Linked DNA regions of Bombyx mori. The protein of the gene in region 2 interacts with the protein of the main gene of each other region in a biochemical or structural test. Links are inferred from orthologs where the notes say so. Each region holds a gene or a part of one and is shown on either strand. Other genes may lie near its edges. The genes, in order: MOB kinase activator-like 1 and serine/threonine-protein kinase Warts.

The links.
Region 1: of the proteins of serine/threonine-protein kinase Warts (region 2) and MOB kinase activator-like 1, one has a biochemical effect on the other in vitro, tested with the Drosophila melanogaster proteins (2 studies listed by BioGRID). The link is inferred for Bombyx mori from reciprocal best matches to the Drosophila melanogaster genes wts and mats.

What each region holds. Positions count from the first base shown.
Region 1 is NC_085112.1:815,802-832,330, forward strand, and holds the start of MOB kinase activator-like 1, read right to left. Parts: upstream 11,117-16,529; 5' UTR 10,937-11,116; coding exon 10,923-10,936; intron 10,641-10,922; coding exon 10,474-10,640; intron 8,412-10,473; coding exon 8,184-8,411; intron 7,484-8,183; coding exon 7,320-7,483; intron 6,620-7,319; coding exon 6,539-6,619; 3' UTR 1-6,538. Other genes in the region: cytochrome c oxidase subunit NDUFA4, read left to right, coding at 12,142-12,183, 13,041-13,187, 14,302-14,358. UniProt on the Drosophila melanogaster protein: Coactivator of Warts (Wts) kinase in the Hippo/SWH (Sav/Wts/Hpo)signaling pathway, a signaling pathway that plays a pivotal role in organ size control and tumor suppression by restricting proliferation and promoting apoptosis.
Region 2 is NC_085112.1:13,708,926-13,724,347, reverse strand, and holds serine/threonine-protein kinase Warts, read right to left. Parts: upstream 11,808-15,422; 5' UTR 11,517-11,807; exon of another isoform or gene 11,484-11,516; intron 11,174-11,483; exon of another isoform or gene 11,147-11,173; 5' UTR 10,897-11,146; coding exon 10,645-10,896; intron 8,666-10,644; coding exon 6,550-8,665; intron 6,473-6,549; coding exon 6,186-6,472; intron 5,948-6,185; coding exon 5,525-5,947; 3' UTR 4,521-5,524; downstream 1-4,520. Other genes in the region: T-complex protein 1 subunit alpha, read left to right, coding at 39-266; bphl-like protein, read left to right, coding at 1,973-2,062, 2,292-2,549, 2,799-2,952, 3,482-3,737, 4,373-4,466; thioredoxin domain-containing protein 5 homolog, read left to right, coding at 13,880-14,019, 14,562-14,698, 14,814-14,932, 15,279-15,416. UniProt on the Drosophila melanogaster protein: Negative regulator of Yorkie (Yki) in the Hippo/SWH (Sav/Wts/Hpo) signaling pathway that plays a pivotal role in organ size control and tumor suppression by restricting proliferation and promoting apoptosis.

The DNA.
Region 1 (16,529 bases), about 13 Mb from region 2:
AATAAGTTGTGATAGGATATCCGTCGGCTTATACATTAAATCATAATTTAGGTTAACACAGTTTAACCTCGTTTATTATTTCAGAGATTTGGAAATTTTCATTATTTTATTGGTCACGCATGACTATTGTCATTCGTTACTTGCAGAAATTTTTATTTGGTATAAGCTATATATGCTACTTTACAGGAGAGCCATTTAAAGTTTAAAATTTAGTAAAAATATAAAACTTCTTCAGCTATCTGAATGGAGTAAAGTTAATTGAAGTTCAATTAAAAACATCGAACTGTTGATGCTAATACCAAATAAAACGCATCTTTAATTACAAAGATAAATGTCGCGTGTTAAGCGAAATGTCGCTTAAAGCAAATAGCTTTAAACCCTTCGATATCATCAATGATGTATCTACCAATAAATATTAAATTGACAATTAATAATGCTTATAAACCCCAAAACAGGTAATGGGAGCAATGAAAAACATTAAATGTGTTTTTATTGTGTATTCATTTCAAATTGAAGTCATAATTTCACACAATCGAATAAATAAGGGCAAACAATCCTCACTTCGTCAATACAAGTATGTTTATAAACTATAATTTTCATATCAAAGCTACAATCGTTACAAAAGATAAATCACATCTATATAATTCTTATAGCTTAAGAAGGCAATATTTCGTTTAGATTTTTAAATTACTTATTTATTGCGTTCAAAAATAAAGCGCGCAAAAACTTACAGTCGTAGTCAGTAATGGGTTTTTGCATTTTTGCGTATTAGTTGAACATTTGTTCTCGACGTTTCGCAGCGGGCCGTATTATTTGAGAACTAAATCTAATTTTGAGTCAGAGGGTCTGACATTTTTTATTAGACTAATAATAATAATTGGTAAACGCGTAGCACTCAATTGAATATACAGCATAAGAGCACCGTCCTTTAAAGACAGAATTGTTACATCGTACTACTTAGGGCCTGTGCATACCACATTTTTTTAAACACAAAGCGGTTTGTTGTCGTCTGTATCGATACAAACGCGTATTTGGATTTATACAGGTGTGTAAAGGTCTACAGGCTTCCTCTGACTCGCGTGCGTATCGCGTGTGTATCGCTAAAAACGCGCGTCGACGACGCGTTTAAAAAACGTGGTGTGCACAGGCCCTTAAAACAAACTGACGATAGATTTCGTGAACACTTTGTAGCCTGTTCTGCGCGTCAGCTGATTTGAAATTAAGTTATAGTAACCGGCAAACTTCGTGAGCAAATGACCTTGACTGCGCAGAACCGAATTTTAGATCACTTTGGTGGTGAGGGTGAGGCGCGACGGCAGGGGAAATCGTTTCGAGCGCGTTATTGGTAGATCAGTTGAACCTTGCGTCCCGCACTGCGCCCTCATTCCGCTTGCTCTCAAAAGTACGCTTGCGTACAGTGGAAAGTCTATCGTTATTAATCGTTAAGTTATTTGTTATAATTACTTGTGGACTTTGTTGCCATTGCTATTTGTTGAGTGTTTGTTGATTTTTTATAAAACATACACTATGCCGCGACAAACCGGTGTAGTATTCAAAAGAAAGGGTAGAAAAATTGTGTACGACGTATATTGCTTCATTATAAAACAGGGGAAGAATGATATGGAAAAATTAAAACAAACTTCGGAAGTAACAAAACCATCAGTGAGTACTGTTAGGTGCATTATTAAGGAAGCTAAAGGCTCTGGCTTGCTCGCCGTGTTTCGGACTCCGGGTAAGAAAAGATCAGGGAAGAAGAAAGTTACCGGAATGGATAGTTTCGTTCAATCTGTAATAAAAAGATGTAATCATAATAACTACATAACAAGCAGCGAAACTCCGTACCGTAGAAAGGCTTCGAAAAGTTTAATTTTAATGGCTCGGAATGAAGCTTACGACGTATTATGAAAGAGCTAGGCTTTAGATGAAAAAAAAGAACAGAAAATAATCGGAAGCTGGTAATTGAAAAAAGTAGCATTCGATTACTACGAATCGAATATCTTCAAAAAATAATTAATTATAGACAAAAAAGAAGACCGAATCGACCGAGTTGTAAACTACACTATGTCGACTAATCACGATGATAGCGACTCGGGTGATGAAAACAGTGATGATGATGATGGTCAAGATTATGATAACGAAAAAAAAATTACAAATACCAGCTTCGCTTCAACTGAATCAAGACCTGGCAACAGCTCTAGTTTTGACTTAATAGAAGGAATATCTATTTTACCCCAAGATTAAATTATTACAATTATTATAACCTATATGTTTTGTTGATGTTCTAATAAATATATAAATAAATACATATGTTAATTTTAATAATTTAATAGCATTATGACGCAGAGTAAGTAATGTTTTTGCACGTGAGTGTACCATGCGCGAACTTACCCCCACTACGTCAACAAATGCTCAAGAAGTTTGCCGGCTATTATACATTGCGTGTTGTACATATTTTTTGTGATATGTCGCACCTTTAGAGTTGAAGTGGCTTAACTAAAAATTTTAAGGAAATGATTTTCATAAACATGTATTTTGACAGTTTATAAAATTAAAATGGGCAAATAAAAAATTTAATTTTAAATTTTAATTAGAAAAAGACAAAGTACACTTTCCTCCTCTTTTAAATCAAGCGTATATCTTAACTTTTAAGGTACCTATGCGCTTAAAGTATTTCAAAATTCATAATATTTAACGTATTTAAAAACCAAAATTAAAAATTTACAATTCTTCAATTGCATTTTTGGCATTTACAAAAAAAAACAACACTAATTCTGAAGGTGTAATGTGTCAAAATGAAAATTAATTAAGTACATAATTTTGTGATATTTTTCAAATTTATTTATTGAATACTTGTGCCATTGAACTTTTAGGGCGACATCGCCTCAGTATGAATACGGGTTTCGAAGGAAATCTATACATCGCCCGGCAGACTGTAGATCGGTCTATGGGAGGTCAAGTCGCCTGTCAACATTACACGCATTATGCTGTCGCCATTGTCGAGCCCCATACGTACATAAACTATGACGGAAAGTCTAATTTACCTAACTAAGCATTAGTACTGAACTTATCTAATGAGCGTGTATGGCAAAGGCAATTGTAGTTAGCAGCTTGGCCCTGCCCCTGACTTTGTTTACGTCCATTAGCGACAGTAACTACTTAGCTCCGTGTGCCGTATGCTCATCTGCTAACAAAAGCAATAAATAAAAAACATCGGATCGCCCGCTTTGGGTCCAACGCGCCCCGTATGGCGGCTGCATATCTAAAGGCCTCAAGCGCGCCCTAGTAGGTACAAAGTTTCGATTAGGCATTTATAAAATTTAAATGCTTCCAACTTGAATATATTGGAAGCAATATTGATATGTATGATTTGATAAGAAAAAAAATTTACATAGGTTGAACAAAAAGGTCTGAAAAGTAGTAATGTTAAAAGGACGCTCATTAAACAAATACGATCAGTCGATTACATTTTTGTCCAAGTTAATCATTTAAAATTACAAATCACTAAATAAATCGTTTAACTTCAACAGTATTTTACATCTATGTAATATATAGTCAACGCATGACGTCATATGTGGCTAATAGTAGCGTATTTGCTGTTCAGCCGCAAACTATCCGACCCCGTATACACGGCGTTTCACTAGTTCAAAGGTAGTTACGTCGTAAGTGCGACCTTAGTACGAATGGTGCGGACCACGGACCGAACTGCGCACCATGCGCTCGTGCAAAGCAAGTTAAGTCCGATGAAAATATCGGCATGACACTTAGCAGTCCGCAAACAGAAATAATCTTAGTTTAAAAAATACTATTCAAATAAAGACGGAAATCAAAACTATATCACTTATGTTATTTATTTCATTACGGAACAGTGGGATTCACAAAACGAACTGTAAATATAAATAAATGAAGATAAAAATTAAATTTAAATAGATTCAACAAGAAATAAATATAATGTCAGAATTAGTTATAGTTCAAAAATTTAATATTATCTGATACCAATAGGAATTGAACTTGACAAAGGACAATTTAACCTTAATCATTAATCAAATAAATTGTTTAAATAAATTCATCATACGATAATACGTTAGTCAAAGTAAATAAATATGTTTAGTACCATTCTGTGATTAGAAACTAGTAACTTACTATCATAATAATATGTTTTTATTAGAAGAAATACATACCTGCACAAAATATTCTATTTATTGTTAAATAAAAATAATGCAAACAAAATAATTGATTCATTTACTAGTTCATAAAGATTTAAAGCTTTGGATGTCACACCATCATTTGTGACATCAAGTCAAGTTTTGCAATTACTATACCACAACGACCACGGTATTTAGAAGTATTCGAAATCTTTCACATAAAAAAACCAATACGACTAATCCAAATCACAAAAGTATTCATTTAATAATATAAGCGCTTCTTTATTGTCTCCATTGCACGCTGCATATCTTAGCAACGCAAGCCCGCACTGTATTTGTCATTTATTAGAAATCTTTAATACGATTTGAAATGTTTCCCAAGTGAGGATGTAATCGCGGCAAATTTTCAGTTCATTTTCAACAAAATATTCAATAAATATTTCAATAACAATAATCAAGGTATTTTATTTTATCTTTGTGTAAATTTAGGATATTTTTTTCAGAACATTATTTACATAAAAAGTTCTTAGAAAGCGGAGAGAGATTTGATACACAAGGCCCTTATTTTATAAAATAAATGGCGATTTTAGAAAAGTAAGAACTCATTTCTAAATTAGTTAGTATGGTGGACGGTATTTAGCGCTTATAGCGATGTTTTTTAAATAATATTGTCGGTAGTAACTGTTTTTAAATTTAAAACCAGCATAATTTACATAAAAATTATAGGTAGCGGACATATTTGATTATTTTCAAGTTTCCCGTTAAAACGTTCGGAACTGTCATTATTGAATACGTCATACTTGGGTTACTAAATACAAGGAATGACAAAATGCACATAATACCCAAACGCAACAGACACAAAGTAATATTATGGAGACAAAAAACCCAAGAAATGTGATAATAATTATTTATACGAATTATCAAATGCCCATTTCTCGTATCTATTGTGGCTTTAAGATAATGGAAGGTTATTTGGCGCGATTAGATCCCGATAAAATTGTTTTGCAATTCTTTCTATTTAATGAACATTTTTGGGTTGTAATAAACAAAATCAAATTTAATACGCGTAATGTAATATTTATAAGCATTTCAATATACTGTAGTTTGATTTCAATTAGAATTCTTACTAGTTAACTCGGTCTTTGTATACGATGATCAAACCTCGCGCGGAGAAAGGGACACTACCGTTGTGTACATATATCGAGGAGTGAAAGTTTTTGCAACATTACAGGAGAGCCATTTAAAAATTAAATAATCAATAATATATAAACGGAATTATAATAAAGAACTTTACGCGGATGTTTTATTTACTGAGTCTATAATACGATTGTATTTTTATGAGGAACTAGATTTAGCTCAATCCGCGCATATCCCGAAGATACGTGATTATTTGAAAATGCATTTTATATTTGAGGCCATCAGCGCAAAAGTGGCCTAACCCTCAATTTTTTATATTCAAGCTTATATGACGTGTATTGGAATTTATTTAAAATATAATAAATTTTATTGTAAAACTGGCCTGTCCATAGTTTCACCCATAGATAACAGATAGCTTTTTAAACATTAATTTTGCGTGTATTGTTTTTATGCCTACTCAAATTCAAATTCATGAAAATTCAAACCTAATTGCCGCCATACTAACAGCTTAGGCCACTTCTGAGCTGACGGCCTCATTTATTAAAACATAAGCACAGCGCGATTCAGAAAGCTACGAACGCCATCTATTCAGGACAGCCGCGAGAGCACCGTTTCTAAAAACTTTAATAAATTTAAATTGAATGCCCTTGTACTCTGTTTCCGTATTGTCGTGTTTTTTCTAACAGCTGTGCGTACAAAATATATTAAATAAAATAAATAAATAAATGAATTAGTTTTTTTGTTTTCTAAATAAGCACTAAGCGTTTGATATCTGTACATAGAAGTTTCTGTGTGATGCATGCACAACGACAGATCTCAATTTTTTTGTTTATTCAGAAGATTCAGTATCTTAATTAGAAAATAAATTATAAAAATATTTACATTGATTCAATGATAGTGCTATTAGAAAAGTTAAATTTGTTTAGTGGGCTGACAGTATCTCTGGACCGGAGGTCTCTCCGGAGGGTCAAATATATAACTTGAATCTGTTGGAGCTTACATACAATAAGACTAATAATTAAAATCAAACTACATTATAATTAAATTTAAGAATAACTTAAATTATCGGCCGATGACAAAAAAAATACTACATTAGTTTATGCTTAAAAATTATGAATATATCACACACTAATATAAAAAAAAAATTGATTTACAGATCTGTGTGTTGTCAATGTTATTATCAAGGCCGACTAGATAGTACAAAAATATCTTTACAACCTGAGTAGGTTAGGCCGGGTGTGTTGGCTGGCGGGCGACGCTCATCGCGCGTCCTTCGCTGTCAGTTTGTCGATGAGCTCCTGTAAGGGCGCTAACTCTTTGCGCTCGATCAGATTAAACTCCTGAAAGGTACAACACTAATGGTAGTGGAAGTTTATTTGTTAAGGTTCTATCAGAGGTAAAACTGAGAAGAATATCCGGCAAGAAGCTCAGTGGGCTGTGTCTATGGGTGACACGTCATTACAGGTAGATCCGTAATGACGTGTTTAGAGCGACGTGGACCGATTGGTAAGCAGTCTCCCGATACATTAACGGTGCTTTTAGTTACTTCAAGCACCGGTTATCTTCCTCGCCGAATCCGTTGCTTGCGAGGAAGGGCTTGACGAGTAAATTAACCCATAGTCATTCTCAGTGGGTCGCGTTTTCGATTTAGTGGTAGATTCTGCGAAGCACTGCTCTTGCTAGGGCCAGTGTTAGCAACACTCCGGTTTGAGCCCCGAGAGTTCACCTACACGCTAGGGAAAAGCTGATATAGCCTCTCAAGGCTATCAGCTTAGGTAGGCAAACAGACAAAAGAAAAAATTTAATCACCACTTTTTTCAACCATTTCTGAAGTCTACAAAACAACAATGTGTCTAAAACCGGACTGTATATTACTTAGCAACAGGCTGAGTGTTGGTGTCTGTCCGTGCGAGTTCATAATAACGCAATAACTAATCTGATGATACTCTGAATTTGCATAATTATCTTGTTAATTAATTATGCTTATTAAAATTTAGCCTAACTGCATACATAATTTATGGTAGTGTTAAGAAAGATTACCTGTACAAAGAATATAAAATGTTTGAATGACGTATTGAGGTGAGCCTCTTCCCCCAGCTGCACCACCTCCGGGAAGTGCTGGTGGTAGATGTGCGCGTACACGCGGAACAAACGCTTCAATATAGTTTTTGCCATCAGTAGGAAACTCTTCGGGAATGGCACACCTTAAAAAATAATAGCCATTTTGTTACTCATCATTAAAGGTATGCTCTTTTATCTCCTATTTTTTTTGTTGCTTACATGGGTGGTTGAGCTCACAGCCCACTTGGTGTTAAGTGGTTACTGGAGCCCATAGACATCTACAACGTAAATGACACCACTCACTTTGAGATATGTTTTTTAAGGTGTCACTTTTTACAGTACAACAGCTGCCCCACCCTTCAAACCGAAACACATTACTGCTTCACGGCAGAAATAGGTAGGGTGGTGGTACCTACCCGTGCGGACTCACATTACGTCCTACCACCCGTAAACGTATCAAGCAAACAAAATCATCTTTCAAATGTTAGGTAACTGGTGATTAATGCAGAGGTCCCGTACATTAACTGAAGCCATTGTGCTGGTTCATAGTACAGTTTCAAGTATAGTAGACACAATGAGTCTACTGCAGTGAAGTTCGCCCGGCTTAGCTTACTATGCAGTTATAGTAATGAGCAATAGATGTTAGTCAGTCAGTGGTTAACGTGCAGCGATCCACCGCGATCGCTGACGCGAATAAACATGTACTTATAAGTAATGTTTTATTGACCGCTCCGGTGAGGTTTCCGGGGGACAACACACAACAGACACTCAACTGATTCACACACCTCGTCCTCTCCGAAAAACCTTACAATTTAATCATTATATTATGTACATATTTCTTACCAATTTTCGAAGGGAACAGGGTTTCGTCATCAAGCTGATCCTGTGCCCACGTCATCAAATAATCTATATACTTTGGGGCCGAACACTTGATAGGTTTCTTCACTGTGTGTCCGTCAGCCCAATGGTATTCATATTTTGGTCCGGCAGACATGACAGCACATGACTCCTCTGTGCAGAATTCTGTTATGGTCCCATATAACATGTTGATCTGATTGAAGAAATCCACAGCTGGGGAAGTATGTCTTTTTGTTATTCTTAATTTTATTATTAAATATTTGTATTTCTAGATATGTAAACTAATTAAGCTAAGTCCGATGGGCTCGCTGACCAAAGTAGGGTGTGGTCCTCCTGCATTTCGGGGGTTATGCAAGGGGCTGACAACCCCTTCATGTAAAAAAACTTTTGTTACGAAACCGACAAGAAAACAGAAACGATCCGATAAATCGGAGGCCAAGACCCACTTCGGGGTCATAGCGCCAGCTCAGTAGTAGTAGTAAACTAATTTTATTTTAGTCTTTTAAGTCACTGGATTCCACAATGACAACAGTATAGCTTTGGTAGCCAAAGGTATTCCAGTTACGGTCGGAAGGAAACTAGCAACCTCTGTCTACTACTACACCTGCACTCACGAGACCTGTAGTAGTATAATTATGCTATTCACAACTAACCCTTTCTTCTGAAAATCATCCTGCGAGCCAACTGTAATTTCTCCTTAATCTTATTGATGGTTTTTTGTGAAAGCACCTAGGTACTACCATCCTACCTTTCTGCAGCACTACAATAATGTATTTTGCTATAAAAGATGGGACATTTCTTATGGATCCTATTAAAACATTGAGCTCACATCATCGTGGGATCAGCAGCAATGACTTGGTGTCTGTGAGCTCTGGTAGTCACTTAACATGATAAACGCCATGTGGGCCTAACGTACTATACCAATCTCGTAAAGCCAAAATCAGGGAATAAGTAATTTTAATCAACTTTTCCTTCTAAAATTTATAAAATGCTATATTTTGCATGGATGATAAAAATTAGCAACCTATATATACCTTCTAATTTTAAAATATTTTAAAAGGCTACAATCTTGATAAAAACTACAACTTGCTATTGCATTTGAAAACCAAGGCATTCAGTTTGGCTGAAGGGCCACACAGTTTCCATGAGCGTTTTGTTTGATAGCTGCAATCTGTGGCTTGTAGGAAGCGTTTCTCACGTGGCTCACCCTCATGGCCCAAACGGTTCAGCAAGATAAGGCACACCAGTGCGCACTGTGGCCTGAATGAAAATACTTGAATTCAAAGTAACTACTATGTAGGTCTAATAAAAATCTGTCTGACTATATTTCAATTAAAACATTACACATAAAATACACAGTAAACTTATCAATTATTATTGACATCAACAGGAAACATGTAAAATTATAAGTGGCACAATATAGAAGTAAATTTATTTATCATAATGAATCATCTGCTACCTACAATAATGACACAATGCTCTATTCAATGCTATGTTTTAAAAACAATCCTCCTTTGTCGTGACATGCAGCAATTAAGAATGGTCATCTTTTCGTTTTTTCGACCTACCTACTTTAATAGCAACCAGAGATTCTGGTTCTATAGTCTCAAGCTTTTTATGGGAAGGGGCAATACAGTAATTAAAAGGCTCATTTGAAATTCATGTTTGATTTTTTATACTTTGCTTGATAATGAAGTTAATATGTCAATCAAAAATATTTTTTTTAATAAGTCTCATTACAAATGTGGCAGAAAAAATCCCTTCTCAATCCCAACAAATACATCTACAGCCCCATCCTAGCCCCTTGAATTTAGTTATTTTTTGCACTACATTAAGTAATCACATATTATTGACCTTAGGAGGAAAGTACAACTTTCTAACCCTCATAATATTATTAAAAGGAATGAAACCAACGTATTGATTCTGATGTGATAAAAAGTAATTTACTAAAGACTAATACTTTTTAATATTCTGTAATTGTGTAATAATATCATGTGCTCCAATTAAAATAATCAGAAATATTTTTATCCCTTTAGAATTGAAGATTTAGTTTCTTACCCTACTTTCAAAGGCAGAAGTGTCACTCTATTCTTACTATGTACACCAAAGATATTCAATAAATTATTCTACATTTGAATGTAACTCAACAACAAATAACTAAATGACTTTGGTAAATATTTATCATATTTTCATTCTGGTTGTGTGGCGTGCAAGCGTTCAAGTTAGCCAGCCTCCTTCAAAATTTACTTAGAATGTAATTGGATAATCCACTCACTGTTCACGGCAACCCACTCATTGAGGTCCTCCCCTTCGGGTAACATAACAGCGAGGCGCAAGTTCCCGGAACCAAGTGTGGCTGCTGCGTGCCTCATCAAATCGTACTGATGGGTGCCCTCAGGAATATTCTTCTTTGGTTTGAAAGTTTTGTTTGAGCGACTACCACTGTAATAAAAAGTAAACTAATTCTTGAAGGTGTTTTAGTAGGTTTTGAAGGTTCAATACTGAGAGACAGGATAGAGCGGGCGGTAGTTTTTCGACATCTGTATCTGAGTAGGCCGAGGCCCTGCGGGGGCGCCGAAATCGCATACATTAAGACATCATATTTAACTCATGGCTACTGAGATTATAGCGTAGACGTAAACAAGACGTCAGCGCTTTTCTCAGCGGAAGACGATCAGTTAAAAATAGATCCGGTTAGAGCATTATTGACTCCGTAATACTCACAATAGGAAGCTCATTTTGACCGTTTTGTATTTCCTTCCTTATCTAAACAATAAATTAATCACAAATTTAGCACCAATTTATATAGATAGGTTATTTTATTACAAAGAATATTTCAATTCACTTGTTCACAAATTGAATACAAAACATTTGTCAAAAGTTCATTGCATTATTTCAAGTTCCATGCAGATTGCAGTTCCCCATTATTCTTTGGTGGGTTTAGTCGATCAATCGATTCCAAATTCATAATCGAATATTCAAAATGTCAAACACATCCTACAGCAACAGCAACCTACTTTATTTGAAATTCAAAGAAGCGACACTTAAAAAAGACAAACATTTACTTTTAAAGTATTTAACCTACGAGAGAATGAGACAGAATACTATCGAATTATTCGCCTCTATCGCATGCATGTACATCTATTTGACAATTACATGGTGCTTGTATCAATAGTGGTTTAAATATAGGCAGTTATCTATCGTTTTACAGGCGTAGTATTTAAACAGATAAAACTGTAAGTCGGATACAGCAATTTGGTACTAAAGTTAATAACTTGTGTAAGCTGAAACTGAGAATAAATTTAAAACCAAAATTTAGAAAATAGCTAGTATAATTCTTAGATATTGTATCTATTTTAATCAATCCATTTAAAATCGACTATGAATTGAAAGCAGAAATTTTCCTGTACGTCCCCACATTTAATATCTATGCACGGTGCTAGAAAGTTTATTTGTTTTTTATAACTTCGACTGAACGAGCACTTGACCCACCTGGCGTAAAGTTGTTACCAAAGCCCATGGACATCTCAAAAGGAAATGGCACTACAGACCTTGAGACATGAGGTCGAAGTCTGATTAATATACATATTATATGTTTAATGTGTAACTACTGTCTAACTTTTACTGCTTTGCTGCAGAAAGAGACAGGATTTTGAGTACTGTAGACTATTTGTCAGAAATTTAAGGATATAAGTTAGTAGTTATTGCCTCAGTGAATTCTACCTATTATGTGTATTATTTATTAAATTATTTTTTTCATTCCACCTCATTTCGCTGAAACCGTTGGACTTAAGCAATAATTTATCGGCTGTCAAAGTCAGTTTGACATTTAAATCTTGGCAGAGTATCCCTGTATAATACCTGCAATCGATATCGATATCGACAGCAATATTCAGTTTGTGGACAGTTTTTTCTAATTTACAACGCAATTAAGTAATTCAAAATGCAAGGACTGAGCCTCTCAAGTTTGAAGAAGCATAAGGCTGTAAGTTTAACTGGTTGTTCGCACTCCAGAAGATTGTGCGTTTCACTTGCACTTCTTACATAATCTAACCTATTTTGCAATTTAATTTTAAGTAGAGATAACAAAATATTTCATTCTTAATACATTTATTCGTTTTCTAGGTGTATAATTTCGAAGTTGAGCCAAAGACACTTCGTACGCTTACAAGTCATTAGTTGGAGTAAGCTTTAAACAAAAAAAGATCTTAAACTTAAATGTGTATAGAAATACGGTAGGCTAATAAGTCAGGATGGCGGCCCTTGGGTAATTAATGTATAGATAATTGTAACATGAAATAATCAAAACACTTTGGTAAATAAAGCAAGAAATACAATTACTTTGAAACATTCAAATATTGCAACCTTTGGCGATTTATTTTATTTAAATATGTAAAATATGATAACATTTTTATCATAAATTAGAGCTTATTGTCAACTATCATGACATTGTTCTTCTATTTGATTGTATGAAGAAAACTATTCAATTTTTAAAATCACATAATATGTTTTATTACCTACACAAAACTTATAAAAACTATAGGGACACTTCAGTAAGGTTTTATATAAAATTAAAATGGTGATAAATATATAGAGTAGGTATTTGATTATTTGAAATGCAGTAGACAGTTCTGATTAGACAGATACCAAAATTGATCAGAAAGCAAAATAATTGTGTATTAATAACATCAAATTTTGACAATTATTATTGAATGAAAAATGAATAACTATGATTTATCTTTGATAAGAATGTTCCATCAATGTTCAAATTATTACCTAAAACATTTTTAACAAAGAAGGATTTGTTACTCCACAAATATTAATAATAATTAATAATTGCAGTTGATCCCTCTGTATGTATGTGTGGGGATAGGATGTGGTGGAGCTGTGTTCTATACTCTGCGTCTGGCTTTGCGTAATCCTGATGTATCTTGGAACAAGAAGACCAACCCTGAACCATGGGAGGCTTACAGGAACAAGCAGTACAAGGTATGAAAGTACTTGTATCATTTAAATTATTAAAATCAATTATTATATTATATTTATCATTTGTTAAATCATTTAAAAGCTAAACCAGGGGTGTAAGTGATAATTATTCTGAAATAATAACCATTCCATCCTTAGTGTGGAAACACTTTAAGAGTAACTATTTACTACAACAATATTTATTTAACAGCTTTCTTCCTTTTATTTTAATCTTTTCGAGAAAGTTTAAAAGCTGAAGTTATCCTTGCTTGTCATATGAATTTGAGTCATTAAAACATTTTGCAAATCAGACAAACCGGAGAATGATTTTTGTTATATAATTGTTGATTATTTTTTTCCTTATATTTATCATAAATCTAACAGGGATTATATAACAAATCCGTTGACATTTAAGTTCAATACATCTTGTATATGGATTGTGGGTAAGCTTAAAAAATATAAAAAATTAGAAGCCGCGTCAATAAAGAAACGAATCGAAAATGGCGTCTATGTACCTGCACTGACAGATAGTAGGGTCAACAAATAAAAAGAAAGATAGAAAGAAAAACTTGTTTATTGTAAAAAAATATAAAAAACAAATGAGAATTTCCTTTCTTTAATTTCTCGAGATTATTTTCCTCTTCAAAGTATTTAATAACGTTACACATGATTTCACTTGCATCACTGTGAAGGACTTTTCCTCGTTTGTGAGAGGCCATATTATTTCCAATCAGAACTGATATTTTTTTTGCATTCAGTATGTGCCGTTGCCTAAAGACAGCAATAGTTTAGAGTGAGAGTGCATGATTGCCGCCGCCATTTTAGATTCGTTTCTTTATTGGCGCGGCTTATATACACAATGATCTACATTATCACTATTATACATACCCCCTACCTACCTACTCTTAATATTAATTTTATTCATTGTTAGACTTGTTATACTTCCCTGTTACTTGTATTTTAGAAAGACTACTGATGCAGTTTTAACATTAAGTTTTCTTGCAACAGTCCTATCTGTGGCTGAAATAAAGATGTATAAAAGCAAACAAACCATTGTTACCCAGTAGTAGCCTTTATAATTCTCATTCCCCAAAATGTACAAATCAACTAAAAATAATAAGATTTTTTTTCTCCACAGTTCTATTCTCCCATCAGAGACTACTCTAAGGAGGAATCTCCTGCCCCCAAATACTAAACTGTTTTTCTAATATTGATCAGTTGTATTACGAGAATTTTAGTTGTATTAAGTTAAATAAATAGCAATAATGTGATAATCGAATGAGTTTTATTTAAACATACTATTAAATTTCTTTTTTTTGTTACATCAAATGCGTAGTTGTTTTACAGAACCACGGTTAAAAGCGCGGTAACTAAAGTTAATCGCATTAAAAGTTACCGCGACCTTAATTATACATGCTAGCTTAATAAATGGTAACCATAGGTTCTATAGCTTCTGAACTGAAGTGGCTAGAGTAAGCCCATACAGAACTTCAAATTCCATTTGAAAGACATGTCCAAGTGGTCAGAAAACATCATAGTGATGGTATCATCATCCAGGCTGTGCATCGTTAACCACTTAACACCAGTCGGGTCCCGACAATCTATAAACTTAATTTTCAATAAAAACTAAAATACTACATACTACTACACTCATGGAAAAACAGAATGAGGGGTCGAATAATAAAACAAAATTTACGAACGTTACATTTTATTTAAAAAAAACATTCAAATACAATGAATGAATGGAAAACTATAAATATTATTTATATAATTAAATTCAATACGAGATAGGCACGAATGCAAATAAACTAACTCCTACTACAGACCTTTTGTAACTATTAAATCATTATATTTTAAAATAATGTAAATATTATGTAATAAGATTATGTGGTCATGAAATAAAGATAAGCGTATATTTTTATTTGATTGCGAATAAAAATGATGTACCAAATACCCATTAGGAGGTTTCTGCAAATCATATTCTGATTATCACAACGCTTCATTTCCATAAACAAGAATCGATTTTTAATTCGATTTCAAATCGACCAATTATTATTATGATTTTATTAAAAATATATAACTTTTTCAAAGGAACGAAAACTATAGTCTCCGAAAGGCTGAAACATTACTCTCCGATAGTTTAAAAAATCTCAAAGACTTTCATTACCTACTTCTTTTGTAAGCTTGCTTCAAATTGCGATCTTGTCTCGAACTAACAAATAATTGGTGCGAACGAGCTGAGAGTTTTCTTAGGTTCGAATCTTTTAGAGAACACACGTTTTAAGGATCATGTTTTACTCTGTATGTATGTTTCGATTGTTTAGCCGCACAGATTATTAGCACAAGAATCTACATTTTTGCGTTAAGACGAGAACAACAAATGACGGTTAATCGTCACAGAACTACATATTTGTATAAATCAAGAAATCGATATTCGTGGCCATTTATTATTAGATTCCTTTGCCTGTTAAATAAATGTTTATTATGCGCGATAAATATATTGCTTTTTTTAAACTCATCTTTGTCTACATTATACATAAATATTAGTTCGCTTTTCATATAACTTTTGAGAATAAGAATATTGTACTGCACTGATGTTTTGAATTTATTGCCTCTTTCATAATCCTTTTTTATTTAGTACCCTCCAAAACCCTGACTGATTGCTTGTTAAAATAACAATAAATCTTTTAAAGCGAAATAATTGAAACCATTAATTTCCCATTATACTGATTAAATAATAAAATATTTCAATTTTAAAATGCAAATTATATTATTATGATGAAACTACATGCGACTATAACATAATAAAAAGGACTTATAAATATTCAATACAAAAGAATTAATTTCATAAAACATAAAAGATTCTTCATAGATTATGCGAGTTTGATGATATAATTGTGGTTTTTGCTTTCTTGGATAGGGAAGACTCTAATATCAGTGTTGATATATTTCATTTCCTTATAATAAATTAATAAAATCAACCACGAATGCGGTCTATTAATGAACGGAACAAAATCAAGAAATTCATATATAATGACGTCAACTTTCACGTGTAACAATTACTTCTTTAAAAAGGTGCTTTGCGAGAGCGAGACAGAACATTCTCCTACCAAAAAAAATCTCCACATCCTTAAAAACAGGATTAAAATAATTTATTCTCTACGCGTATTGCACGCAATTAAAAGTGACACGCGTCATCTGGGTCATTTTCAAATTTGGGGCCAAAAGGGAGTTATTTGATTTAATTCTCATAACCTTAATTTTTTATTATAAGTGCAGTAAATTTGTTGTCATGACAACAGGCATCAAGATTAATCTTTGAATTTTAATCTGAACTGATGGAGTTACGGTTACAAAAAAAAGTTC
Region 2 (15,422 bases):
TGAAAAATAGTTTAGATCTGGTTGACTCTTTATTACAGGTGGAACACGCAAACCTCAAATGGGTAGGTCTGGATCTAACAGAAGGAACACTCCGGGACAACCTCGCAGCCGGAGTCCTCGAGCCAGCGATATCCAAGATCAAATCGTTGAAATTCGCAACAGAAGCTGCGATTACTATTCTCCGTATTGACGATATGATCAAACTCGACCCCGAACAAAGAGGCAAGAGCTATGAAGACGCTTGCAATGCCGGTGAACTGGACTAATATCAGTTACCCCGCAAAACTTAGTGCATTTAGACTATGTAACATAATGCGGCATTATGAAAAGAACATTCTATTTTCATACCTTTGGCATTATCTCTATTGAAACTTCTTGCTAGTGTCGTCGCCGCTTATAGTAATAACTTTCATACAATTTTAATTTGTAATTTGTATCCTACTTCGAATAATACGGAATTTCGATTCAACCCAATTCCATGGGAGGTTTGAATAGTGACATTTAATATTTTCAAATGGTTAGCCATTGCTTGTTACAAAACACCACACGAACCTAGGATATATTTGTATTATCTTTAAATTACATTCAATAATAACTTTAGTTTGTTAAAAAAAGTCTAAAATATTTTGTAAGATACGAATTAATGTCATATCTGTTACTTTAACACTACTATCGTAGGTAACGAAAATATTGAAAACGTTTTGGGAATCTACGCTGCGATCACAATACAATCTCTGAGTGCTTGAGGTGCCTGAACGTAAATTTTATTTTTATATATGGTAAATTCTAAAACAGACTGTAGTTTTGTTAATTGTGTATCTCAATAGTGTTATCCGATCTTGCAAAAAAATTGTAATTCGTTTATAGATTGTCACAATTCAACTATGCATATGAAGGAATGATCATTATATTTATTTTGTCAACCGAACGGTTAATTTGCTTTTAACAAACTTAACGCTAGTTTATTTGCTAGGACGTAATGCGTCATCAATTAATAAATTTTAATACAATATTGATTTGTTTTATTTTTACGAAGGTACATTTTTAATTTCATTGTTCGTAAGTTTTGAAGTCGATCACCTTTGTTTCCCTACATTTTATACAATATTTCTCATTAGGTAATATCCTAGCCGTATTGACTAAACAATTCATTTTATAGTTCTTGCCTAAAACAAAACTTGTATATTTAGTCTACATATTCATGGGTATTCTCTTCAGGTCAACCTTAGGGTGTTTGGGACTGACACGGTCCATGTCCATGGTTGTTGATACACCCAAACTTTAAGTAGGTAATTCATACATTTAAAGTTTCACCAAATAACATATAAAATATCTTAGATACAAATTATAATACCATTCTAAAGGTCGGCGTTCCACGTAAGTATGTCTATGTTCTAAGCAATGTAATTGAAGTACCGTAGAGTATGTATACCTCTATTGAAACTTTAGTTTTGGCGGGCTTTTTGTCCACCAAAGAATATAAAAATGTGCTTAGTGAGGGCTGCCAGTAATCATAATATATTAATTCAATTTTATAAATTTTATTTAGGAAATTCATCCTCGAGTCGTGTGCTCGCCCTCGCCTTGCTTTAAGTTACTTCAATATAATGAGAAATAGTGGTAACCACTGTTTCAATTACGGTATCATACATTCACTCTTACTATCATATCGATTAATTACCCAATTAAATAATTTAGTTTTGGTTGAAAAATCGATATTGCGATTTAATGATCTCAGATCACATCCCTAGTTGATAACAATGTTGATTGTTGTGTGATTGTTGATCATAGATTAATTCACAAGCATTATTATTAAATTATTATATTAGCAAATATATTAAGTGTCTATTCGATGAAGTTGAATGTTATTAATTAAGCGACAATTATCGAGCTAGTGAGTTTTTTAAACTAATAGGTACATCGGTCCTTACGGAATAAAAAGTGACTAAGAAAGATTTCATTGAAACTAAAAATGCTGATAACGCTTAGAAATGCAATTTTGCGTACTACGAATTGTATTAAAATGTTACATGCGAAATGTATGTCTACGGCCGTTCCAAAGGTGAGTAAGAACTAATTTAAACAATACTGTGCAATATTTAATTTTGCTCATAAATGTTATTATGATAATCATATTATTTGATTATTGTTTGTGAAGCCAATTAGGTGATATATTATTGTCATAATTCGCATTTAAGTAAAAGTATTTAGTAACACTTTAAATCATATCTTATTAGTTATTTATAAACATTTTATTCATAACCAAATAAAATATTAAGGAAATGTTCTAGGAGGAGAAAGTTAAAGTATCTGGGTGCAATATAAACTATGTCAAAGTTGGTAAAGGATCTCACAATTTAATTTGTTTACCTGGAGCCCTTGGAACTATCTGGACCGATTATAAACCTCAAATTGAAGGAATAGACAAAAATGATTTTACATTAGTGGCATGGGATCCACCAGGCTATGGTAAAAGTCGACCTCCTATGAAGCAGTTTGATGTTGACTTCTATGAAAAGGATGCTGACTATGCTTTTAATTTTATGAAGGTAAACAACAGTGAAGGATAAACTGCCTTTATAAAAAACTCAATAACGAAATACAAAGAAGTCTTAAAATATTGACAAGTATAAGTTTCCAGATATTCAATTCTGAAAATTTTTGATCCAGCTCTTCTGTCAAGTAATACTCTCTAGAATCAAACCCAAACAGTTTCCCACAATCGGAAAAATGTGATGTAGTTGAAATGATCAAAGTGTAGCAACAAAAGACTGGTTAAAATCTTCATATTATTTTAGGCACTAAATATTCCCAAATATTCAATCTTAGGGTGGAGTGATGGAGGCATAACAGGGATAATACATGCAGCAAAATATCCTGAAACTGTACAAAAACTAGTGATATGGGGAAGTAATTCATTTATGTTACCTCATGAATTAGAAATGCTTAAAAGTAAGTTGGTTAAGTAAAATTATGATTTAATTTTGTGAGACTGTTTATTTTTATTAATCCCACTGTTCATATCTACATACTTTGCAACCAAAATGAAAAGAACATTTTGATGGTTAGATTTCTTGGTTGACCTGGAAATTAATCTAACATTGTCCCCAATCACCCATCTTTCATAAATTGGACAAATCTTAACAGAGGTTACCACACCTTCGTGTATTTCTAAGAGTAACTGGGTTACAGATTATATACTTATAAATACACTATGATATTATATATTGATGGGAATAAGTGGGGTGGTGAAGGCAATGCTTCCAAACCCACTGTTTCTATCCAGACTAGACAGATTTGAAAATTAAAAAGATGTCCAAAATGTGTCCATTGAAAAAATTATGCCAATTTTTTTAACAAATTATGTTATAAATATTGCATTTTTCACCTTTTTCCTGTTTCCAATATGTTTGTACCTAAAACAATTCAATAATTTTTAATTGACCAATTTTTTAATTTTGAAATTATCTTTATATTTCAGAGATAAAAGATATTAAATTGTGGTCAAAGAAAATGAGACAACCAATGATTGATGTGTATGGTGAAGAACTATTTGCAAAATACTGGAGTAAATGGGTTGAAGGCATGGAAAATCTTTTCAATAAGAAAGATGGCAATATATGTTCGGAATTACTGAAGGATGTCAAATGCCCTACCCTTATACTGTATGGAGAAAAAGATCCTTTGGTGGACAGAGTTCATGTATCGCATTTGCATACTCATATTGAAGGATCACGGTAATTATTTTATTAATATGCTCACAGATTGCCAGTTTTATTTATTTTTATTGCATGGATGGGTGGACGAGCTCACAGCCCACCTGGTGTTAAGTGCTTACCAGAGCCCATAAACATATAACGTAAATGCCGCCACCCACCTTGAGGTATGAGTTCTATGATGTCAATATAGTTACAATGGCTGCCCCACCCTTCTCAGTTAGTGGATATCATAGCACATAATGTCACAACACAACCTAATTAATTTGTCACTCAATTTAAACAAGAGACCAAGACTTAATTACATTTAGAAACTTACCATTTATCATTAAAAGTTTTCACACAAAATGTCATGCATTAAGGCTTATTCTCACTTTATTATTATTGGTTCTATTAATTTTATTTCAGTGTTATAGATTAAATGATATGCTCATTCTGGTTAATAAATCGAAATCACTTTTCATATTATTACTGCGGTTAAGTAATTTTATCTATTCGAAACCCCAAAAAAAATTTTTTTTTTTCTTTATTCATAATATTATTCTTTATTTATTTTGTCCATAGTAGACCATGTTGGACCTAATGTAAGTTTTACTAGTTGATGGGATAATATGTTAGATATTTATTGAACGCACTGTATTTATTTTTGTTTGCAGAATACATTTGTACCCCGATGGGAAGCACAATATCCACATAAGTTATGCAGAAGATTTCAATAAAAAAGTTCAAGACTTCCTTCAATCACCCTAATAATAAGAATAAAATTATTTTTGGTATTCAAATCTGAAGGGCCAAACGAAAAAATATAACAAAAAATCCCATATTTTATTTTTCATTTACTTCTTATAAGCATGTTTCATTCCAGAATGAAACAATTTACATTTGATAACACATAATTTAAAGTTTTTGTAATGACTCGTTTGCATTTTACTGTACAAAGGGAGAATATTTAGTGTTGCCAAAAAACAATTACTGATGATAAATATTTTGCTAATACATTCGTAAATTGAATATTGTTAGTGTAAACATAAATAACTTAAAGTTGCACGTTTTAATACTAGCATTTGACTGAAATGTGCTCATAGTATCCGTTTGACAAACTAAAAATCTTCGAAAACGAAGATAACAAGAGTTCAAGTTGTGTTAAATAAATACGTATTGCACTCTTTACACGTTGCCGAGCTGACTGCTAATAAAGTCGTACAAACATTTACTTCCCCTAAATACACTTTCAATATACAATTCTTCAATACTAAGGCACACAATATGAGCTAGTGTCCAACAGACAAATGGAAGCACAGTACAACTTTACGCCGATTCCAGTTTGATTATTTATAACGACTTTATAAGTTACAATTATATAAACAAACACACATTTTAAGCGACCTAACATGATAAATACATAAGAAAATATAATGACACTATCAAAAACATTTGCTAGATCAAATAAGCTTTTCCTTATTTCATAAATAATTTCTCTAGTTACAAAAATACAGTATACAAGTGAATGAAACGATATTAGAACGAAGCACATTCACGGCCCCGTCAACAGCACCATCAAGAATTATGCACTACTACGATCCATCCGTATATATTACACTCGTATAATATTACCCTTACGAACTGATAACGATACAATATTACAACATTATCACCGGGATTATTAACATTTTTTTTATTTATTAAATACGTTATATTCGTTACGTTTACAAAACTTACTAGTGTTTTAATAGAGAGAGTCAAAGGCACACACTTTGTAAAAATATAATCCTATGAGTTAGTCCGATTGTCTATTTGCACAGTTGATATCACACGTACACAGGTCCTTGATTGTCATTGTCATCCAAATTGATTTTGCTCGTATAGCCATCATCAAAGAATCTTCTGAATGTGAACTCAAAGAAACCATGGAAAGTCTTGCCATTGTCTAATAGTTCACTGTCTGATTTATTTGAATCTGAACTACCAGAGTTCCTGAGCTTATCTGGATCAATGGGGTCGAAGTTGGATGTGTCTGTAGGGTATTCAATCCTCGGGATGTAAGGAGCAACCTGATTCCTCAATCCTTTGTCAAAATCGATGCCCTTGAGGAAGGGATGGTTTTTTACTTCATTGGCATCTTTGCCAAGCCTTGTGTCTTGACCAGAACATAGCTGCAGAATGAGGTCTTTGCTCTCTGGGGATAAGTTGGCTGCATCAGGTACGTGTAGTGTACTCTCCCAATTGATCACCTGAAAGTTAATAAATAGAGAATTTAGATAAATTTTTTAATGTTTTTTTTTTCAGAGCAGCCCTCTTAATGATTTAATCAATTGTTGGAAAACACAAAAATCACATTGAGAATGTCATTAAAATAAAAGCAATATCAGTGTAGACTATGGTCTATTTTACTAGATCTTAACAAACAGCTTATCAAATTGTACTCTATTTTGTATCTATCATAGAACATATCATAAAGTTGTGTGTTACCTTGAGTTGCGTCTCTGCGGGGGTCGGCGCCAGGAACGGCGGCGACCCAACCAACATCTCGTACAATATAACTCCAACCGACCACCAATCGCAAAGCTGCGTGTATCCAGTCCGCTGCAAGACTTCAGGCGCAATATAGTTTGGGGTTCCCACTAACGAATGGGCCAAACACCGCTGGTGTTCTCTTCTCCGCCGCCTTTCTAAGGGTTTGAGTTGATAACATCGACATTCGCCCATAGCCCCCCATTCTCCATCCACTGGATCCATTGAGTCTTGTCGTCCATGATCTGAATACAAAAAAAAAATGTAACACCAAATCAATCTCTAAAACACTGCATAAATTTTACAAAAAACTGTCTCATACCATTCCTTTGATAATATTTGGAGTTGTGCGTCCATCTAAAACCGGTGCATAGACCAAAATCTGTTAACTTTATATGACCATCACGATCTATCAATATGTTATCTGGCTTGATGTCTCTGTGGATAAAACCCATTTTGTGCACGCTTTCGACAGCACACGTCAACTCTGCAATGTAGAACCTAGCGAGATTCTCCTCGAATATTCCTAATTTTATTAATAAGGACATAAGGTCCCCGCCCGGTATATAGTCCATTACAAAATACAGATTATCTTTATCTTGGAAACTGTAATAAAGCTTGACGACCCATTCGTTGTCTGCCTCCGCCAATATGTCTCTTTCGGCTTTTACGTGTGCCACTTGATTTCTCTTTAGCACGTCAGCTTTCCGAAGTGTCTTCATGGCATACAGATGACTAGTATCGATCTTTTTCACCAACGTCACCTCCCCAAATGCTCCCACACCTATAGGCTTAATCTTAGTAAACATAGACTTGTCCATCTTGGCCCTTTTCAATCGAATATAATTGGATTCCTTCTGGGACAGCATCTTTCTCATCTGACACTGAGCTTCTGCACTTAGACCTATTTTACTCATCTCCTTTTCGAGTTGCATCCTTCTGAACAGTCTCTGTTTATAAGATTTCAAAACGTTTTCCACATGCTGTTCCATAAAAAATTTGAAAGCTTGCGGTGAATAATTTCGGACTTTACAATCTCTTCTCTCGTCTTCTTTTTCTTTACTGTAATTTCTGCGTTCCGGTATTGGCGATTGATGCCTTATCTTATCTAACATTTTTGGTCGTCTGTCCGATGATCCGTTAGAGCCTTTGTCGGAGCCGGAGGCCGTGACGTTGTCTTTTAAGAGATTATTCGTACAGTTCTGGTTGGGACACTTAATTTCGTGCGGCCCTTGTGACGATTCAGGTTTACCGTCACAGTTATTCGAAATTTTCTTATGTAAAGGAGAATGGTGGGAATTAACAGTAGTCGTGTTGTCGGCTTGGTTACCGTACGGAGGCGGCGGGACGGGGTGCATGCCGCGTTGAACGGCGAGCACTTGCATCGTGATCGCATAACTTGGTGGCTCCGTGGTCGGGACGGCGGGAGGAATCGCAGTAGGTGTGGAGCCAGGAGACGACGGCTTCGGTGCCGACGGGTAGCTGGGCGGAGTCTGTGCCTGCTTCTGTTGGATGGAGCTCGCGTACGAAGGAGGGGGTGGGGGTGCTCCGGCACTGGTGGCTGGCGGTGGGGCAACCGGTGCTATCGCCGTTTGTAGTACCGGTTTCTGAACTTGTGTGCTTTTCACAGACTGCATGATGATAGGAGGCTGCACCGCTTGTCTCGCGGTCCACGCCTGGAGCGGCGTGGGGCGAGTCATTCCCGCGGCTGAACCAGTCGATTGCGTTACCGTAATTGGACTCGGCGAGCCGGCGGAGGTGCCTCCTGAATAGATCCCCGAAGATGGACTCTTCCTGTAATCCTGCGACTGGGTTGGGCTTTGACGATTTTGGATAGAGACCGAGTAGGGAGGAGGTGGCGGCGCACCCGACATCGGATACGGCGGTGGAAGTTCGCCGCCGCCACCCGTTTGATAGATACTGAGAGCTTGTATCTGCTGCGTAAGCTGCTGTTGCACTTGAGGTCCATTTTGTACAATCATGGGTTGTCTGGCAGGCGGCGTGGGTGCCGCGGCCGCCACGGGACTGGTGCCCCGCGCCGGTGGTAGAGGTGGCGCCGGCGACATGCGCTTGAGCAGTTGCTGCACGGAAGGCAGCACCGGCGGCGTGGACGGACATCGCGGCGGCGGAGGTGGCGGTGGTTCTGAGAAACCTGAAGGCGAATACTGTCGCGATAGCTTCTCGTGTGGTAGCGGCGGTGGCTCCGATTGACGCGGACTATCAGACCGGGAGCTACCAGCACCTGAATCAAGTGCAGGACTACCACGATGTAGATTTATCTCTCTCTCTAGACTAGGTTTCCGGATAAGTTTGGTGCCAAGAGCACTCAAGTTACTGCTTTTGAGGACGCCGTTGAGAGGTTCTTGCTGTTTCGACAAATAATCGAGAGCTGCATCAAAACGCCCTCCTGCATATTTGAGTGCCCTCACAGCTGGGTCCTGAAATGATTTTTTCTAAATAATATACTCATTATTCAAAAACAGAAGCAAAACAAGATAATGAAATTTTACCAAATTGATTATAATCTAAGTACACCGTGAATATCTCTTCTGACGGTGAGTGGTTACTAGAGCCAATAGACATCACAGCGTATATGCGCCGTCATCCATCTCGAGACAAGAGGTCTAATTTTTCAATTGTATAGTATATTAACTGTCCTGCCCTTCTAATTAGAGCATATTACTGCTTGACAGTAAAATTCGGTAGGGTGGTGTGCCCCACCCTGCAGCGGCAGGTACAAACCATCCATCTAATAATAAAAAATTCGGGCAGGGGGCTTAGGGGGCGCGTAGAGTATGTGGGTGTTGATGGTCCGTAGACATTGGGAGAGAACCGCAGGTCCAAGAACGTTTAGGGCCCTACCTACCAAAAGACTCTCCTTGCACTCTCTCCCCCAACGCCCGATCTTCGTCTGGGTCCAGTGCCCGAGCAGAGTAAGGGCAGAGTAACATTATAAATTAACAACCAACATTCGATCAATGGATAGTTGACGACCAACAAACCTAGTCTCTGTGTGGTAATATAATAATAATGGCATGGCAAAACTAGTATACCGAACTTCTTATGTAGATCTTGCTTGGAGTTTTTATTGTAATTTTGTTGTAGATTGTAATATAATTATTATCTTGCTGACTTATAAACTTTACATAGACAAACTATGTGAATATAATTCCTATTTTACCTCATTCTAATACTATTATATATGTTGAAAAAAGGATTTATTTGAGTACACAGTAATGTAATTTTTCGCCTGGGAAATTTATGAGAACAATTGTGAAAACTAAAAATTAAATTGATATTGGAGATCTTGAAAACTTCCTGCTATCAGTCACCGATGATACTAATAGCTAGAAGATACATATAATCCAAGACGGTAGAAAAAAAAGCATGTGTAGAATAATTTTAAAAAAATCTTTTTTTATCATTAATATTAGATTTTATTATTTTAGGCTTTATAACTAAGCCTATAGATCACAATAGGGGTTTTAAAAAATCTGAACACGAAGCTGAATTCAAAAATGCATTAAAATATTTGACAGCCTGCCCTTTAAACCAGAATACATGGTTAAAGTGTTAGGTATAGACAGAATATTGGTATATGACCATATTTATTCTCAAGACAATATGCATTTACAACATGCACAATACAATAATGAAAATAAAAATTAAAATCTTGTGTTTTTGTATTGTGAATAAATTACTTCTCAATTTAATTCTGGTCAACATTATATCCAAGAACACAACCTTAAGCATTCATTTTATAACTGTTATGACTATAAATTTGATTCAATTTAAATTATGTTTAACATGATTGTTGAAAATGAAAACAAACTACCACTGGTTTCATGATTGCCTATTCCTCATTCCACTGCAACCAGGCAATATGCAAGTAATTAGCTTGTACTTATAGTGTTTATGTTTAATTAAAATTTCTCAGTTATTGCAAATAACAATAACTTAAGTTTTACTCAAACCTGGTTAAAGATTGTCCTTAGCCTTGGTATTAATGAAAATGGACATTAATCACCAATAAATACTGATAATATCGGCCATACACTGCCTTCTACATTAAAAGTTGATAGTCTTTCTTATTATATTTTAATTGTATTATAAATTCCATGTATTTTTATATGTATATTTCTTCTGTGCGTGTGTTTGTCACTGAACTCCTCCTAAACGGCTGGACCGATATTAATGAAATTTTCTGTGTATCTTCAGGTGGATTTGAGAATGGTTTAGATTTATAAAGCAACCCGGCACTGCAGTCGGTATCTTTCCTAGAAATATTTTTATGGCAAAACAATGCCAGCCAGTTTTTTTATAAAAATTAAAGATAATGGAATAATGACACTAAAAAAACACTAATCATATCTGTTATTTAGAAACACTTTTAGCAATTCATTATAACTAAACTCACCTCATCATAACCCAAGGCAATAAGTTGGTTCAAGGATTGAGGTAGCACATTCAAGTCTTTATCGAGTCCATTTCCCGAAGAAGAACTAAACCCCGAACTCACTCCTGAACTAACTGTGCTAGCAGCTGATGAACCTGGCGGTTCAGAGTTTCCAATGTTCGCAAAGGGAAGCAATGAGTTTCTGATTTCGGCAAGCGCCTTCTGGTGGTATCCGGAGCGCGTAGCCGTTTTGCCGGGCGCCGGCGGGTTCATGGCGCCCGCGCCCGCGCCCGTGCGCCTCACCTCTCACCCCACGCCTCCCATCACATGAGCACACCCCACACCCTGTACATATCCTTGTTTATTATCCTCCGCACCATTTATTCAACACTCTAATTAAGACTCGCAGCACTGTCACTGTCTTTATTATCGAATTTATTTCGTTTATATATCGATTTCCTCACTAGTCAGTCTGTATCAACATTGCTTTTTGTGTAGCAGCGTGAAAGGTACTTTCTTTTAACTGAAAAATATTTTTAAATATTAGTACCTAATCAATTGAGAATTCCTCTTGCTTTAGATCCCTTAAATTTTATGTGATAATAAAATAATGAGTTAAATAAGTTAGATGAGAAAAGTTTGACATCTTGGCAACAGGATAGGGATATGATTTGTCGACTTTATACAGAACCTGTTTACAGTATCAGACAATTCGAGTACACAATTTTTAACAGTATCGCATTCTATCCAAGAGTACGAGGATGTAAGGAATGTCTAATGCGAATCAATCATGACATAGACTTGTGGAATTCCAAAATTAGAGGGAGCTCGGAAAGCAATGTTTCGTTCATTCAAGGCACTAAGAAGAATAATTAATTACTGTAATTCATTACCAGGCACTTTTTCACTTTCTGTAAATCCGTATTATATGCACAAATGTCATAATCCCATAAAATGAAATTCAGTTCGATCGACAGCTCTCACATTGCCGATGACATCTTTCTTGCACACTTAGTTTTGATTAGTCGCATTAATTTTTATACGGAAGAGGCAATCTGGAGTCGATAGAGTTGTGCTTTAAAGCGAGAGTTTCTAAGGAAATATGAAAACAAAGGACTCTAAAACACAGACATGCAAGTTGGCAAACCATACAAAGCGACCATTTTGAAGAATTACCACATTCTTTAGTGTGTTCGGATACACAGAAGATTAAATTCCATTTTGTTTGACGACTCTTTTTCGTAAAAAAGAACCCAGCTAAAGCACTCATCTGCTTACTAATGTAGGAATTTCTCTATTAAAAGTAATAATCAGACCTTTAAAAAAACACTTCTACAGAATTGTCGAAATGAAACTGTATCCGAATAATAAGAAAGTCACAGGCATGGAGTAAGTACCTAGTCACAGGACTCACAGCAAAAATCCTAACTGCAAAAATTCTAAAGAAAAAAAAAAGAGTATAACGGTCTAATTCTAAGACTGTTAAATTAAGAAATTTCTATCTGCTATTGCCTAATTCATTTTCTTCATAACAAGGTGACACTCTACAAAACATGCATACGTTCCATTGTGAAATAGGCTTGGAGTTAATAAGGAAATAGGTAAGTGTAGTGTTCGCTCACGCGTCCCGTTCACACATGAACTCTCTCCAGGTTATCCAATCCCATTTCTGCAAAATAGCCTTCGGAGCACCGTGGTACGTAAGAACTAATTAGTTTCTATCAGTAAAAACCTTATGGAAGCGTCGGAACGCTATTTTGATAAAGCGGCGTGCCATTACCTTTCCGCTTCTCATTACATATCCGACCCAGGCAACAGGGCAACCTAAAGCCGCCGTAGCCATTAACATATTCTTTCCGATCTTTCAGGTCCACTTTCAAAGATTCTTCTGTCGTTCGCTGTGCACGTTACTCTCTGCTGTGCTCGACGTATGAAATAGCTCATAGACACCACCCACTGAGATCTCGCCGGATCTTCACGGAGGGCTGTGATTCCGATCCTGTGTTAAATTCAACCAAGTACATCTCTACCTGAGGCCAGTGCTAGGAATTTTTTTAGGTTGTTGCTGTTGTCAAGTTGTGACTTTTTTATTTTTTTATTTACTGTTTCATCAGGTTTAGTATGTTATGACGGTGGTTTATTAACATTTTAGTATCTCTGAAAGTACACAAGGGTGGTTAAACGAAACAAAATAGTTGGATATTGCTTTTTGAATTCTTCCAAAGTCCATTGATCTTATCTTGTCATCCTTAACCTCCGAACTACCTATTATAATAGGCGGCGTGCGGCAAAATACAAACACCACAAAGCAACCAACGGTGGTATCCTTGGCGTCGTATCTCGCGAAAGTGTTGCAGGTCCCCGGTTAGGTGGTGAACAAATATGGCCAACGGTTCGCCCTTATTGGTGTTTGACGGCGATATATGCCGCGGCTTTCTTGTTGCGGTTCAAAGTCAACAGTTCAAAGAAGATCGTCGCAAATATTAACTCGTGCAGCGAGCATGAGAGGAAAGTATAAATAATACACATAATATCAGGAGAGCACAGATGAATATATTAGTTGGAGGAGAGTACAAAAGTTATGTGTATTATCTATGAGTACAACATTAAACGGACAATAAGTACGGCCTGTGTTCCAGCTGCGCCAGAACAATCCCGCACCGTGCCGGCTCCCTTAAGATTTTGTTTAATTCCAACCATTTTACTAATTATTTCATTGGTATGGTATTGTTTTATCTCAGTTCAGTTAATCCACATATCCTTCTTCAAACGAGGCTTGTGCAGAGTACTTAACGGCGAGAATACTTAACGGTAGGCAGCAGCTTGGCTCTGCCCCTGGCATTGCTGAAGTCCATGGGCGACGGTAATCACTCACTATCAGGTAGACCGTATGCTCGTCTGCCTATAAGGACAATAAAAAAGATATCTAATTTAATTTTTGATTCAATTTTTTATCAATCTATATCAGTTGACTTTCCACACAACAGACATAGATTCACCTTTGTTATAGAATATTACTGTGTATGTTATATGTGCTACGTTCCCTGTGCTGCCAATAGACAAACCAAACGAAAAAGTTTGAAGTGCTGTGCAGCAAAGCAAAATTTATCCAACAAATACGAAATTATTTGTTGTTTTAGATTTAACCTATTAGCTACTTAACTAATGAGAAGGAGAAAAGATATAAATGAAAACAACCTAAAAAAGTTACCTCAATTCACAGAGGCATTGTTTAGAAATATATTCCTTCACCACAATGAAGATATTACCATATCTATTTGTATTTCCGTATCTTGTAGCTCCTGAACAGAGTTCTGTTTACGAATACAATCCCAGTAATTTCAAATTCCAGATCGAAGAAATGGATGGAAACTTTATTATGTTTTACGCGCCATGGTGAGAACAATAATTGAATTTACATTATTCCTTTCAGTGATTAAATTCAAAACAATCTACATATTCATTTATTTATGATAAAAATTATACTAAATATTGAATCGAAACGATTTTATAAATAAACTTAATCTAATTTTCTTTAGTTGACCGAAATGTAAATGGTATACCGTAGTGACATCGATGAGGCCTATTGTGTGTGAACCTCTAATAGAAATTGAAAATACGAAGATCACAGCCAAGCTTCCGTTCAAAACAAAAGATTTGAATGCCCTCAATAAAAACGAACTGATGTGGGTAGTGGTGAAAAAGATCCTTCATACTTATTGACTAAACTACAAAGTTAGATGAGCATTTTTACAAAAAGGCTGACGACTGATTCAATGAGGGTAATTCACGATATAAAATTAAAAAAGTTGTTAACCATCCACAACTAAAGATGTGTTCCAAGAGAGTTTCAATAAAATACTGTTTGAAATTACCATAATATCTATATTTTTTACCATTACGGTACTATACCATTTACAGAAATTATATGTTTTAAGGTGTAGACATTGCACAGAATTTTATCCGATATGGTCAGAATTGGCAGAGCTGGTTAATACCAAGGACTCCAAATTTGCCATTGCCCAAGTTGACTGCACAGTGCATGCTAAGCTTTGTCATGAAAATGAAATAACAGGTACTTAAGTAAGCATACACATAATTTCCTTGTTTTTAAGTATGTACATAATAGAATTTTTTTTTAAAATAGGTACACTAGTTGATGGTGTAAATAAATTTGAAAAAAATTACAGGTTATCCAACATTATTTTATTTCCACAAAAATACATTTACACCAGTTGAATACAAAGGAACAAGGGACTTACCATCATTGACATTGTTTCTGAGCGAAGCCTTCTCTGTCAAAACAGAGGTGAGTAGTAGAACCATTTTGTCACTGTTGCTCAGAATTAAAAAAAATCATTCTTCATAATTCATTGCAAAAGTAGGTCAATGGGATTAAATTCTAGCCTACAAACATCACAAGATTAATGCCATTAGCCATAATCAGATATGAGGTTAAATACCAATGAGATTTATACTTAATTTAGACCATTTTGATGAATGGATATAAATGGAAGTTCTGTGTCAAAATTTATTAATAATATCACTTTATTATAATTTTTTCTGACTGACCTATCTTCATAGACTACAACATAAGAATGTGACTGAATATAAAATATAATATATATAAACCTGTATCCAATTTATTATTTCAGGGCAAACAATCAAAACAACCAAATGAAGTTAAAACATACAGCGGCATGTCCTATCTGAATGACCTGAATATTGAGAAGTTTGTGTCAAAAGGACAGCATTTCATCATGTTTTTTGTACCTTGGTGTCGTGCATCTCAGGTAATC